2 linked regions of the Pelodiscus sinensis genome follow. The protein of the gene in region 1 purifies or fractionates together with the protein of each later gene. This does not show direct contact. Links are inferred from orthologs where the notes say so. Each region holds a gene or a part of one and is shown in the gene's direction. Other genes may lie near its edges.

Region 1 (7,642 bases):
ATTTTGCTTCAACTACCCCAGACTAACACGGCTACATTTCTATCACTATTCCAATCAGTATAGACGTTCTATTTTGAAACAGCACTATTTTGATGGGCATCTGTAGTGTGGACATGCTATTTCAAAATAAACTTTTTCAGAGGATTTTTCCTTGCTGAAATAGCTTATTTTGAAATAAGCATGCAGTGTAGACGTAGCCTATGACTCCAGTTCTGCAGGTGGCTGAGTGAGTAGATGTTTATGGTGTGTTTGGATAAATTATTTTGTTGATGAATAGCAGAGCAATTCCTCTGTTGAATTAAGGTATGACTTTCTGGCACACCAGGTAAAAGTATTTATTGCCCTGGGGAACTGCATTAATTTGTAATTATGTATTTCCTGTCTTTGGAATTACAGGCAGTCCCCGGGTTACGTACAAGATAGGGACTGTAGGTTTGTTCTTAAGTTGAATTTGTATGTAAGTCGGAACTCGTACATATTGTAGGGGAAACTCTAGCCAAACATTTCTCCAGAGCTCAGTTTTATTCTCCCACACCTCACTTCCCTCAGTCCTTTATTCTCAAGCTGAGGTATCTGCTGAGAAAAGCCACTCCGCGACTCCCTGGTCTGGTGGTGGTGGTGGTGGGGGGGGGTGCTAGCTTCGCGTCTCCCTGGTCTGCTGGGGGGAAGCAGCTAGTGTGGGGTTGCCTCACCCCGTTTGTAAGTAGGGATCCGATGTAAGTCGGATCCATGTAACCCGGGGGCTGCCTGTATTTTACACACAGCTTTTTTTTCTGTATTTGAAATTACAATACCTGTTCTCTATATCGTTATTCTTTCCTGTTTATACATAGAACTCTGTTCTGTGTAAGAGTCTCCACTGTTTTCTCATGGAAAATGAATTAATGGATTGACGAAAAAGCATTTTAAACTAAAAATTAGTCTGCATTTAAATGCCCCTTTTCATAATGAAATCTTTGGTAAATACTTTTATTTATAATACACTTATTCTGAACTTGTATTTAAAAAGAACTAAATTTGATTTAAAAAGAACTTCAGAACATTTTGGCCCTGTTTCCCCCAATCTCCTTTGGAAAAGTTTGGGAAGCAGAAGAGTTAGATGGGAGACTGAATATCAGAAATCCATTCTAAATCTTGGGCTTGACCATTATTCATGTATGAATGTGGGCAAGTTATTTAACTGCTCTGAGACTCGGATTCCCGTCTTTAAAAAATAGAGCTCTGGCCATACCTACCTTAGAGGGATGGCATAAGGCATTAATAAATTAATATTTCTGAAATATTTTGAGACAGTAACAATACCTAGTGCAAACATGCACAAATAATTCCCTAGAAACAAATCTTCTAATAGTGTGCATGCACACTAGCTGAAGATACATATGCACACTATTTGAAAAACAAGGAACTTGAATATTCGTGGTTGGCAGTAAGAGTGGAATACAGGGCTGCTCTCAAGCAGTGAGTGACAATATTGAATGAGTAAGACTTCAAGCGAGGGGGTGAGTTAGACTGGAAATGTCTCAAAGCAAAATATTCTTCCTCACAAGAAAGAGATACTTCAGTAAAATCCATTCAGAAATGAAGGCACCTCCCTGCATTTGTAAACGGAGCACGACTTCTCCAGTGAGGGCTGTGAAGAGTTAAATCAGACAGTTCCTAAGTGTTGTAGTCTATCCTCTTCTCTTCCCCACCCTGTTTTTTTCCTTTCTGTTCGCTCTCTCTCCTTCTAGTTTTGGCAGGGGATTAAAGTAGCTCCCCCCTGTGGCAGCAGTGACCCAGAAATGAGTTTGATTCACAGAGTCCTTCCTCCATAACAAGTAAAAACGTCAGTCAGTCTGTATGTGTGTGTGTGTGTGTGTGTGTGTGTGTGTGTGTGTGTGTGAAGGGAGCCACAATCTGCTCCCACTCTCCAGTGCTTGTCTGAACTCATGAGGCAGCACAGACCCCTTCGCGCAGAGAAACTCCAACCTCACTGGCAACCATCGCGGCAGCAGGAGCAGGTAACTGTGTCCAGATTCTGACTCTCCTCCACGCCGCCGCCGCAGAGTGAGCCGGGGGAACAGCCAGCACAGCCATATTTGATGGGTTTTTGTTGCTTTGCTTTGGAGTTCTCCAGAAGCAGCTAGAGAGCAATTTAATGCCGAAGGTCGCTGCCTAGTGGAAATAATATAGTACGTCATTAATATGGCGCCAAAAGATTTGCTTCTTGATATGGAGCGAGGGGAGGCAGTTGAGTTGCAGCTTCACTATCCCACAAGCAACTTGTGCATTGCTGGGGAGGGAGGGAGCGGTGGGAGGAGGAAATAGATGATTATTTTGCAGCTTTGAGAAACGATGTGATGTAAGGAGTGTTCTGCTAGCTGGTTTTCATTTTGCTGCAGACTTTGCAATGGCAAATAAGGCTCTTGCAGCTTTCAAGGTGCACCAGCTAAATCAACACAATACTGCACTGAGGGTTTTTAAAATTTGTATATGTATTTGACTTTGCTGTAGTTTTTTAAAAAAGAGAGTGGGGACGCGGGTATCTGAATTAATCAATGCTGGGTCAGCCTAGTTTAAAAGTAAAAAGCGTTGGATCAAGTTGGTAGACAGATGGCAATTGCAAAGCGCAGGTCCTTTTAGATATAGACGCTATAGAAAGGGGGAGGGGTGGTCGTAGTCAGAATCTGTCACCGTGTCGCCCACATGTCCAAAATATCCGTTGCATCAATTCAAGGGCAGTAAGGGTGTGTGTTATGTGCAGGCAGCTTTGCAATTACATTCATGCAAATTGTGTTTGGATTTCACTTGCTGTAGTTAAAAAAAAAATGCTCGCAAAGTATAAAAACCGTTCACCGGAGAAAATAGGCAGAAGTTTCCTATTGGGGTAGGAGAGTGTTGGCCGGTTAGTCCTGAACTAGACGCGATTGTGATTTTAGGCACTAATGGACATGTGTGGAGGGGGAGGCTTTTAGTACACTGCTATAGTAGAGCCGTTTATTTTCAACTGAGTCCGAGTGTACAGTAGCTCCTGCTGGAGAGCAAGTTGTAACAGCCCTGAAGTGCACGTGTTGGGAGAGTGTGAGTGTACGGAGGGAAGGGGTGTGTTGTGTGTGTCTGAGGGAGGAGGGGGCGGTTGTTTGGCTGCTCGGGCTCTGCTGGGTGGCAGCAGCTTCTGTGCCGCTGGCGAGAGCGATGAATGCGGGCCAGGGCCGGAATGTGGAATGTTGACCCCAGATTCGAATCCCTTCGGAACGGTCTCACTGGCTGCGGAGATTGTCCCCCCCCCCCCCCCCGCGGGAGGGAGGCGGGGTTTGCTTCATCGGGCGCCTCCGGGCTGGGTGTGGGAGGGGGGACGGGAAGGGGCAGAAGGAAGCAGGTGCACGGAGGCAACAAGAACCGGCCGGGAGGCTTAGGAACCTCCCCATCCAAAGCGATGCTCCCCAGCCCCCTCCCGCTGGGGGCCGGCGAGTTGAGATCCGTGCGGGGTTCCACGGCCCAAGCAAACACGTGCGGGTGCTCGAGAGGAACTTCTGCGAGCCATGTTTTGTTCCTTAAGAGACCGAGGGCTAAATTCTGCCCACAACTACCCCGTGCAATCGCACCGAGACAGCAGTGCCCACTTGCGCTGTGAGGAGCTGGCAATTGAGTAACGTAGGTCCTATTATGGGCACTGTCGGATTAAATCATTGGGGTGGCACATTAATTTCCCAAGTACTACGGTGATGGATAATCAATACAATGAGTGGCAATAGGGTTTACGGATGAAGTTCTTAAATCTCCTAAATGATGCTGACATGCACTTATGATGATATACGAATGAAACCAGGGGGTGGTGCAAAATGTCTGAGGGATTGCACAGGTGTAAGGGAGACTTTGGCTCTTAATATCCCCCCCTCTTCCTTTACCAAGGTCTTTACAAGGAAAATGGGACTAGGTTATGGTCTTTTCAAATAACCGCATCATTTCGCTCTAACGGGCTATCCTTGGCGTCCCCAGAGGAGAAGGCAAGAGTGCAGCGCAGGCGATTATTCCAGTTGCTGAAATTAGACAAAGCCGCCCTGCTGCACTCGTATCCCTGGACTCTGCTCGTTACATGCTCAGATTTTGCAGATTGTCAGGCTTCGGGTCTTGATTTTTTTCTTGCCAGTGTTCATTAGCGCCAGCATTCATTAGCAGTTTATGGCGCGGATTTTATTATTTTGACGAGGGTGGTGGTAGGAGATGTGTGTTTGTTTGCACCGCCTGCTGGATGGTTTCCTATGACAAGAGGTGATACACAGTTTCCAGAACTGTCTGGGAGTGGGAGGAGAGACCGACAGAAAGCAACCTCAAGTCTTAGTGCTGCTGCTATTCAATCCTAGTCTAAACCGTCCCCCATCTCACCCTCCCCAGACATTGCAACATGGAGAGCGGGGGGTGGAGATGGGGAGGGTTGCTTGGCCGTAGAAATGATATGGATTTGGGAGCTGAGCTGAGGGCATCAAGTTTGATTTGCAGCTGAGGCTGAGCGGATTGGTGCATCTGGTGGGAGGGGAGGAGCACAGGAGGAGGGTAGGCGGGGGAGATCTGGTCAGTTTCAAATGGAGACAGACGGGGAGGTGTACGTAAAATGGGATTTTTGCCTGCTGTGCAAAAGGTGCCATAATCGCAAAAAGGGGTTAGTCCGGCGACAGCAGCGCAGCTGGGGGCAGGAGTTAAGTGTGATACTTGTTCCTTCCCGGCTTCTCCACCTCTCTCCTCAGTCTTTGTTCGTGTCTGATGCCTCCGGACCTCTCAGTACGAGCAGCTTCAGCGGCGGCGCTGCGAGCCCTCGGCACCGGTATTGCTAAGGCTGGCGATAAATGAGCCCTGTGTTGTGTGGATCGGAAAAACTGGGCGGGTTTAAGAGACATGACTACCTCTTAGCACTGCTGTCTCAGCATGCTGGGGAGCTAGGAGTGGGAACATATATTTGAACCAGGAGGATCTGAAAAATAGAGAGTCCGAGATTTAAAGAATACAAGTAACAAAAATGCTTATTTACCTGAAAAACAGACTTTAAGCATGGCCTTAAAATAAGCCTCCCAAATGAGGAAGCCTTTCAGTAAGGAAAGCAGTTCTAGCTTTCCAGTTCATTATTGCAGCAGTGACTACTTGTTTTGATCAATATGCAAATTAACAATAGTAGGTGATTTTTTTTTTAGAATTATTTAGTTTTCAAGAGCACTTTGAGAATTAAGGTGTTGGTATGGGATAGGTGGTTTGGAACAAATTGATAAATTAAACAAGCAATAAGTTATGGGAGGAGATGGTATTCACCCAACAGTCCTGAAGGAACTGGGTATGAAATTGCAGAACTATTATTTGTAAGATGTAACCTGTTAAATCAGTCTCTACCAGATGATTGGAGGCTAGCCAATATATTGTTGATTAAAACAATTTTTTTGTGATGATCCTGGTAATTAGAGAGCAGGAAGGCTAACTTATGTACCAGGCAAATCAGTTGAAATCAGAGTAAAGTTGATCAGACACACAGGTGAACTGGGTATATTGATTAGGAATCAACAGGGCTTTCCTAAATTATAAGGAATGATTTGTCATCTATTAGAACTTTCCCCAATTATTAGCTATGTACAAGCATGTGGACAAAGGCCATACAGTTATATAGAGTACCTGGGTTTTTACAAATACTAACAAACTAAGTAGTCCATAGGATGAGAGGGAAGGACATCTCATGGATCAGAACGTGGTTAAAAATAGGAAACAAAGGGGTAGGAATATTAATTGTTAGCGCAGTAGAGAGAGAGATAAATAGTGGGGCCTTCCAAAGATATGTATTTGAACCTGTTCTGTCATCATATTCGTTAATGTATTGGAAAAAAGGAGATGAGAAGTGAGGTGACAAAATTTGCAGATGATGCAAACATTTCAAAGCTGACTGCAAAGAGTTACCAAAGGATTTTACTAACCTGAGTGATAAGATGGCAGATTTATATGCAACTTTGTGTATTTTGAAAGCTTGTATCTCTCATCATCAGAAGTTGGTTCAATAAAAGATATTACCTCACCCACCTTATCTCTGTGAAATTGCAGCTGAAATTCACTGTTAGTAAATGGAAAGTAAAGCACATTGGAAAAAATCATCTCAGTGAGATACACAAAATGATGGCATTTAAATTAGCTGTTACTACTGAAAGAAAGAGATCTTGAAGTCATTGTAAATAGCTTTATGAAAACATTCAGTCAGTGTGCAGTAGCAGCCAGTAACGGGGGAAAAATGTTACAGAAAATATTGTAATGACACCAACTGAATCTGTGGTACACTAATATCTTGAATATGGTGTGGAGTTCTGGTTGCCCCTTCTAAAAGATATTTGTTAGAAATGGTGAAGGTATAGAGAAGGACAACAAAAATGATTGAGATATTGAAATAGCTTCCATAGAAAGAGATCTTGATATGGACTGGGGACTGTTCATCTTAGAAAAGAGATGACTGAGGGGTGACATGAATGGTGTGGAGAAAGCAAGAAACGAGTGTTGCTCACTCTTTCCATGCAACACAAAAACCAGGGGTCACCAGATGAAACAAGGCCACAAGTTTAAAACAAACACAAGGAAATAATTCTTCACACAATGCACTGTCAACCTGTGGAACTTGTTTCCAGGCTATGTTATAAAGGCCAAAGCTGTAACAGGGTTAAAAAAGGAATTACATATGTTCATGGAGGACAGGCCCATCAGTGCTTATTAGCCTAAATGGCCAGGGATTCAGTCCCATGCTCTACATATTCCTGAATCTCCAACTGCCAGAAGCTGGACATGGATGACAGGCTAGATAAGTTGATAATTGTCAGGTTTTGTTCATTCTCTCTGAAGCACCTGGTATTGGCCATTGTCAATAGACAGTACGCTGGGCCAGATGGACCTTTGGTCTGAACTAGTGTTGCCTTTTTATGGGAATAAATATACCTATGATTAATTCTTCATCTGCAGGCCCTTTCTTAGTAATAATTCTTCTAATAAAAATGATTGTAATGCCAGCAAACGGAATCTATGCTAGATTTTCAGACTTGTCACTCATCAAATAATAATGGGCCATGCCTTGACATAAATGATTAGTTTATGTAGCCACGTGAAAGTTTTAAGCATAGATATCTGCCCTTTTGGGGAGTTGTTACATTAGAAGCTATGGTAATTGTACAGCAAACTACCAACAGTTGTTTTCTGTTCATTTTTAATTTTAACTTTTATTTTAAATAAAAGCTAAAACAGCCTATTTGGCACATCCATTTCCAAATAAAGAGATTTTACTGTGTTTTAGATTAACTCTTTTGCAAGTAGTTCTTCTTTTGTAAATAAGCATGCTTGCAAACATAAGACCTTAATAAACATTACACTAAAATATGTTTGGTACGATTCTGTTTCTAGAGCTTTTCATACTCAGTGGAATATTCTCTCCAAATTGCAAGAGTGTGCATTTTAGTGACAGGATTCTCCCTGAAGAAGCAGATTCTCCACCACTGCTGATTTGAAGCTATGTTTCATATATATGTCTCCAATAAAATAATAGCTGTAAATTTCCCTTCTAGCTTTTCTGCTTTCATTTCTAGATCACATTTAAAAAAAGCATCCTCTGCCCAGTGCTTTTTCCATATAGTCAGTGCTGCCTCTTTACACTGCT
Region 2 (7,544 bases), on another chromosome or scaffold:
ATTGAAGAAAAGGAGACTGGAGAAGAACCTCTAGATACTCCCTCTGCCCCAATATCTCTTCTTCCTTAAATGAGGTTATCACTTCAGAGTCAGCATTGTGTCCTTCTGATGACTTTTAAAGTTTTTCAAGAACTCCATTAGGAGACTAGCCTCATCCTTGATGATAAAAAGAGAACTTGTGCAAGACAGTTTGTGCAGACTGTTGATTTGGATTGCCCTTGCCATTAATAAAGCCTCACTGGAACCTCTGAAGACCTTTTAGCAGACAACTTGCTGTAGCCCACCCATTGCCAAACAGACAGGCTTTGTGTTCCTCAACAAGACTTCAGGTATTTCTTTAACTGTCCCATTACAGACTCAATGATCACAGCAGCAGATGAATGTTTGAGGCAACTTCAACCCAATAGGAGACTGGATCTTTGTGGGAAGAAGGCATATATGATTGTGAGCCTTCAAATGAGTGTGTCAAATTATTTGTCACTGTCTAAATATACTTTATTAACTTATCAGCAATTTCAAAAATTTTGGTCAAACTGCCCGAGCAATTCTTGACCGTAGTTTTGTAATGTCATCTCATGACTTGTACATCTCTCCATCTAAGCTATGTCTACACAACAAAGTTTTTGCGCAAAACCAGCTATTTTTGCACAGAAACCAGCAGAGTATCCACACCTGAAGTGCATTTTTTGCACAAGAAAATCAACGGAACAGAGGGCTTTTGCTTCCACGAGGAATAACTCCTTTTTGCGCTACATCTCTTTTGCAAAAAGGCAGGTGTGGACCCCTATGGGAAAAAGCACACGTGCTCTGATGGCCATTCTGTGAATGGTCATCAGAACTTTCTTGCGCAAGAGTGTCTATGCAGTGTGGATGCTCTCCCGAGCAAAAGCACATCACTTTTGTGATGCGCTTTGATGTCTGGACATGTTTTTGCACAAGAAGTTTTTGCTGAAGACCTCTTCCACAAAAGGCTTTTTGCGTGAAAACCCTGCAGTGTAGTCAAAGCCCTAGCGATTTATGCATCAGACAGAGTAAGACATAGGGGCATAGGTGGTCTGGCTTAATGGTTACAGCTGGGTGGGTGTCCTCAAGTCAAGGACAGCCACAAGATGGCGGTCAGCAAGCAGGGACTGCAGTAATTACTAGAGCTGGAATTAATAGGCAGGAGTCCGGTTAAGAGTCAGCTTGGGTCAGAGATCAGAAATGGTGGTCATGACACTGGAATTGGGAGTCGGGGTCAGAGTTGTAGGAGTTAGAGACTGGAGATCGGAAAACAAGGTGAAGCCTTGAGTTGCACCTGGTCAGAAATCTGTGTGACTTCCTGACAACTTCCTAGGACACTCTCCATGGTTAAATAGTGAGCATGAGCCAGTCAGAAGTCTGCAGGATGCTCTTACTCTGGACCTTTTATGGGATATGTCTCATGGTGCCTAATCTCTACAGGGCTGATTGTATATGGCTCTGCATGGTCTCCCTGTATTTGTGTGAGAACACCAGCTGTAATAGACTTCACAGACCTTGGTTCTAGCCCAGGAGTGGGAAAAATCTGTCTCATGGGCTGGCTTCAGCCAGGCACCATCTTGTAGCTTGGCAGGCCCCTCAGGTAGGCTCCCTGCCCCCATATGCCGCTCAGGGTGGCTGGCTGCAGGAGCCATATGCTCTCTGTGTAACATGAGCCAGGGAAGGGGGGAGGGGCCCTCGCACATTGCCTGCACCACAAGTATGGCCCAGGCAGCTCCCATTAGCCAGTTTTTGACCAATGGGAGCTGCAAGATTGTGCTCGGGACAGGAGCAGTGCGCAGGTCCTTTGCTCCCCCTCGGTGCTTACAGCATTCAGAGAGCACATGACCCCCACAGCCAACCACTTCGAGCAGCATGCAGGGGTACAGAAGGCAAGGAGCCTGAGAGTCCCACTGGGATGCTTGCCAGGAGCTGCCTAGGTAAGTGCCTCCTGGCCAGAGCCTGTATCTGACTCCTTAGACCCTCTGCTCCCCCTCCTTCACTCCATTCCCCAGTCCAGATCACAACCCCCTTCTAGACCCTGCAACCTCTCCTGCACGTCTCAATGTCAGAATCTTCTACCCCCTATCCCGAGTTCCTTTCTGCACCCAAGTACTGCCTCCATTAGTGTCATGGAAAAATGTGGCCCTTGACCACTTACCAAATTCTTGAAGTGCCCCCCCCAATCAAAAATTATTGCCCGCCTCTGTTCTAGTCCCATTGATCTTCATAGTTGGCTATAGCCATTTCTATGAAACATTCTTCTTGGTATCAGGCCTCCAGTATTCAAAAAGAGCTTCAAAATACAGGGGAAGTTTTACCATTTGAGGATACTAAACTGTTCTCCCAGAACACCAACTCTTGCGGAGCTCTTTGTTTGCTTGGTGTGTACATCCTAGTGCAGAGTGTCCCCACTATATGTCCAAGATACTTTTAAAAAAAGTGGATGTATAGTGAAAGGACATAGAGCAGGGAATTTTTTCCCCATGCTTGACTTCTGTTTGCGTGATTGGGTTTGGGTTTTTTGTGCAACGGAAGAGCGGGGAATGGGAGCACTGAAAATGAAACCGTTCCCACAAGCATCAACAAAGCTAATGCGGAACCAACATATACCAGGGTGACTTATAGCAGAGATGCCCTATAACAAAAAGTAAGCAGTGTAAGTCCCAAAAGCAGTATAAACCCTATTATCAGCAGAAGCCTCTAGATGGAGTTCTAAGTTTTCTATGCATCATCCACCAGCATTATCTCTAACAGGCTTTCTCTACACAAGATGTCAGTGATTTTTGAAACCAACTTAAAAGCTGAGATCTTTATTGGCCCACATCTGGGCAGAACTTATAGTATTAGTGTCAGTAAAAACACGGATTCCGTTTTCCTTAAAGCAAAGCTTTGTATTCTTTCAAAGATGTTTTTCATTTGAAAGAATCACAGGCAGGCAACAAAAGGCTATGCAAAAGGCTAATAAGTCCTAGGTCCCCAAGCAGAAGCCCTCACTAGCTCCTGGGCTAGTATCCTAAATGGCAAACAAAGCAGCTGTGGGCTTCTGTTTCTTCTGAAACACTTCATCTGTCAGGTATTTCCTAGGACAGAGTGGTAGCTACCCTGAAGCCCTCTAGCTCAAACTTACCTGATACAAGGGTGTTGGTTGATCTGGGGCTTCTTGTTTTATCATGTCACCAGTCTCTTTTTAAATGTTAAATTGTATGGAGAATGAGCATAGGATATTTTCCCATACTTGTATCCTTTTTCAAAGGAGTCACATGTTCCTGAAATATGCCACACTGGCATTTCATAACTTGTTTCTCTGATGTGTTTGGAAGGGACAGTAGGGATAGATTGACATTTACTTTCTCATCAATCATTCACCTGAGCTCTAGCTGTTGTGCTGTCTTAGAATGTCATTTGACCCTGAACTGTCTCCTCTAAGGTCACCATTTACATGTTTTTATGAGATATGTTTGGTGAACATGACAGTCCATGATGTCCATAGTTCTCTGAGAAGTACAAATACACACACGGCCCTTGATTAAACATCCAGAGTACATAGTTGTACTAGCGTTCAAGTGTACTATCAGTACTCTCAGTAAATTTCCATATATCCTGTCTGAGGCAGAGAATCCTGCTCCCAGAATCCTCAAGTAAATTGAGATTTGCCAGCCTTGAGTCAACCACAGCAATTCATAATACCCAGCACCATCCCAACAGTCCCTTCTCAATATCCAGTTACTAACAGTGATTTTGATATTACAACAACAACACCAATTATACCTATTATTTTTGGGCCATGTGTCTCCTTTTTAAGTTAAAATGACATTTTGCAGTCTTCAGTTGTATAATTTGGCAATTAAATTTTTAAAGGGTCCCTGTAACGTTTGCTTTTTCTTATACTGTTTACATATTTGATGCACAGGAAAAACAACACTGTTATTCCAGGAGTCAAAAATACAATTATCCATTGATTCCCACACCACTCATTACATGACACAAAGTGTCATACTGGGTACTTATTTGAGAATCTATATCTTTTACAGCTTTTTCAATCATCTTGTATTTTCAAGCAAGTGCACTTTTTATACTTATTAGAAGATTTGTTGTCTGTTCTGATTTAGTGTTCGCACGTATGTTGTATTTCCATGTCTTAATCTTTATCATTTCCTCTATTTCCTCTAAATTTGGTAGCATCTATCTGGGTTGAGGTATATGCTTTTATTACCTGGGGTGTCATTGGTAAATTTATATTGGAAGTTAATTATTTTCCCCCTGCATACACCACATTCCTCATTCCAGGTACCAATGCTGCCTTTGCAAGATCTTGAAGATCAAATGGGAAGACAGGCACACTAATCTCAGTGTTTTGGAAGAGGTAAAGACCACCACTACTGAGGCAATAATCATCCGTCAGCAACTTTCAAAACAGGTCCTGTTTTCTCAGCTGAAAGAAGGATACTGTAATGTGCAGGGCTTAATGAACCGCGGTGAAAGCCGCTTGCCAGCCCCGCACTGCGCATGTGTAAGAGCCGCATTTTGCATGCACGCGTTGCCGGTAAATGGGGCACTGGGCTGAAATCTACTCTCCAAGGGGCTTTCTCCTTTGATTAAACTCTACTGTTTTCAGCACTGCAGTAAACCTGTTCATGGAACTGAGTTTACAGATCAACATACAAAAATCAATCTTTTCCTCTGTATGGCCAACCTCAGCTTGATAAAGGCCAGAGCATCCCATGCTGCAACACAGGTTCCACACCTTGGCCATGCTTATAGAGACAGCCCTCAAATATCAGCCAAATGCTGCTTCCGTCTAGGGCACATGGCAACAGGCACAGATGTGATACCTCATTCCAGACTTCAACTGCAGTGCCCCCAGATGTGATTCAGCTCAGTCTAAAGACTGACTAGACATAGATTAGACTGCCACTACCCACTAAGGGTGTGTCTAGACTACATGCCTCCTTCGACGGAGGCATGTAGATTAGCCAGATCGGAAGAGGGAAATGGTTTCACGAGGCTTACCTGTGTCGATGAAGAAAGGCTTCTTTGTCGGGGCATCGCGTCCAGACTCCCCCGATCTGCCGACAAACAGCTGATCGGCAGATCGGGGCAGCCATTTAAATTTAAATGAAGCCGCGATTATTTTAATCGCGGCTTCATTTCCCTCTTCCGATCTGGCTAATCTACATGCCTCCGTCGAAGGAGGCATGTAGTCTAGACACACCCTAAGATAAAAAACTCTAGACTGGTGGAAAAATCCAATGAACATTTGCAAGATGATTCCCTTTCCTCAGACTTCTCTGATGTTACCACCAAAATCATGCCTCGTAGTTTGGCTGTGCACTCCATCCAAACTAAAAACACTGAGCAAATGGTTAGCCCCAAAAATGTTCTTCCATATGGACCTCCTTGAATTCAGGGCAGTCAGAAATACCTATATCCATCATCCCACTGACCAAGGAACACACACAATAACCTTAACAGACAACATAGGACAGGACAAGGAGTAATGGGCTTAAAGTGCAGCAGGGGAGGTTTAGATTGGACATTAGGAAAAAATTCCTAACTGTAAGGGTGGTCAAATATTGGAATAAACTGCCAAGGGAGGTGGTGGAATCTCCCTCTCTGGAGATATTTAAGAACAGGTTAGATAGACATCTGTCAGGGATGGTGTAGATGGAGCTTGGTCCTGCCTTGAGAGCGGGGGGCTGGACTCGATGACCTCTTGAGGTCCCTTCCAGTCCTATTATTCTATGATTCTATGATAGCATGCATAAATTGGCAGGGAGGAACCAGGTGCTCTCTCTACTCAGAAGTACTAAAGTTATAAAACTGGTGCAGTTCCCACATCTACCTTCTGGGAGTACAAAACTCAATGGACAGTTGCAATTGCAAATTCCCCCATGATCATGAATAGAAGTTAAACCCAGCAGTGCTTCATGACCTATTTAGGCAGTGGGGGGCACCAAGTGCAGGAATGTTTGCCACTTACCTGAACAAGAAATGCCAACACTACTGCTGCGGAGCAGAAATAGGGGAATGCTTGGGAAATGCTCTTTTTTCCCCATGAGACAGGGACCTTTTCTATGCCTTACCCCAGTTTCCCCTGCTCTCAGGAGTCCTATTAAAAGTAATTATACATCATACTGATTGCTTCCACCTGTATAAAACAGATTTGATATCCTCACCTAGCATGCTCAATCTCTCTTCAGCCCACTCCATCTGTTGCAGAACAAAGGATGCACTCTACATCCCAAGCTGAGGATACTTTTCCATCAAGCTCTTTTATTCTGGATCATAGAAAGCTCCTGCTGAAGGGAGACGCAAGAAGTATTCCTACACAGTAGAAGATCCACTACATGTCATTCTTGTATACTCAGGTTTGGTGTATTTCACAACAAATTTCCCCAACATACACTGCTCTGCCAGTGGACCTAGACTATGTACTAATTCTCAGAAATTCAGGGTTCACTCAGAGCTCACCTAGCAGCAGTAGCAACTTTCATCAACAAGTTGTGGGATTCTCAATGCTCTCATGCCAACCACAAAACAGTTGTATAGTATAGGAAATCTTTTTATATAGGAGTATAGTAAATCTTTTCTCCCAATCCTGCCATCCCACTCCTACATGGGAACTAAGTCTAGTGTTGAAAGGCCTGACTAGACTTCCCTTTGAGCCTGTGACTATTTGTTTGCTCCCAAATCTGTCAATGAGAGTGGCCATCCTGGAAGGAGAATAGGGGAAATAGCAGCTCTGATGGCACATTCCCTCATACAATATTCTTTCCAGACACGGTCACACTCGGATCACATCTGCAGTTCACCCCCAAGGTGACCTGTTGTTTTCACAGAAATCAACTGAACCTTCACACAAACCTTCTTACCTTCTACTCTAGCCTCACTGTGATAACAGGGAGTCTGAACTACTACACACTAGATGTTATGAGAGCCTGAACCCTTTTACTTGGATAGACCAGAGGCATTTAGAAAGTCTCCCAAGCGTTTTATTTCTATGGCAGAGAGATCCAAGGTCTCAGTAGTATCAACTTAGGGACTCTCCAAATGGCTCTAAAACGGTATTAAAATATGCTGTCAGGTTTGCAACATAACACCTCTATCCAATATTCACACTCACTCCATGAGGTTGGTCTGCTTCTCAGTTGCTGCTGAACTGGCAACATAGTTGTGTTTCCATATATATGCAGAATATTATACAATTACTGGAGAATCGGCTTCTGATGCCATCTTTGGTTCCACAGTATTTTCACCCGTAACTGACTCAAGTAGAAGCCCCTGCCCACCATTGAGGATACAGCTCAAGCGTCACCTGCACTGAAACACCCCATAGAGAGGCTACTTGAAGAAGAAGAGTTGCTCACCTTACGTAGTAATGATGTTTTTTTGAGATGTGTCCTCTTGTGGGTTCTCCACAACCCACCCTCCTCCTCTCTACTTTGGAGTTCTTTCAAGGACACTGTGGTAGCGAAGTAACTGAGGTGGTTTGCCTGCATGCACTGGTTAACCTTGAGGTGGGACAGCACATGTGCAGGCCA

What was found. Proteins that work in one complex are often made in the same cells at the same time.
Region 2: the proteins of JADE1 (region 1) and ING4 purify together in Homo sapiens (affinity purification with mass spectrometry; 4 studies listed by BioGRID and IntAct, with this or other methods). This does not show direct contact. The link is inferred for Pelodiscus sinensis from reciprocal best matches to the Homo sapiens genes JADE1 and ING4.

Annotation. Positions count from the first base shown.
Region 1 is NC_134715.1:50,833,986-50,841,627, reverse strand, and holds the start of JADE1 (protein Jade-1), read left to right. Parts: upstream 1-4,540; 5' UTR 4,541-4,740; coding exon 4,741-4,801; intron 4,802-7,642.
Region 2 is NC_134711.1:138,606,053-138,613,596, forward strand, and holds the start of ING4 (inhibitor of growth protein 4), read left to right. Parts: upstream 1-4,453; 5' UTR 4,454-4,468; coding exon 4,469-4,513; intron 4,514-7,544.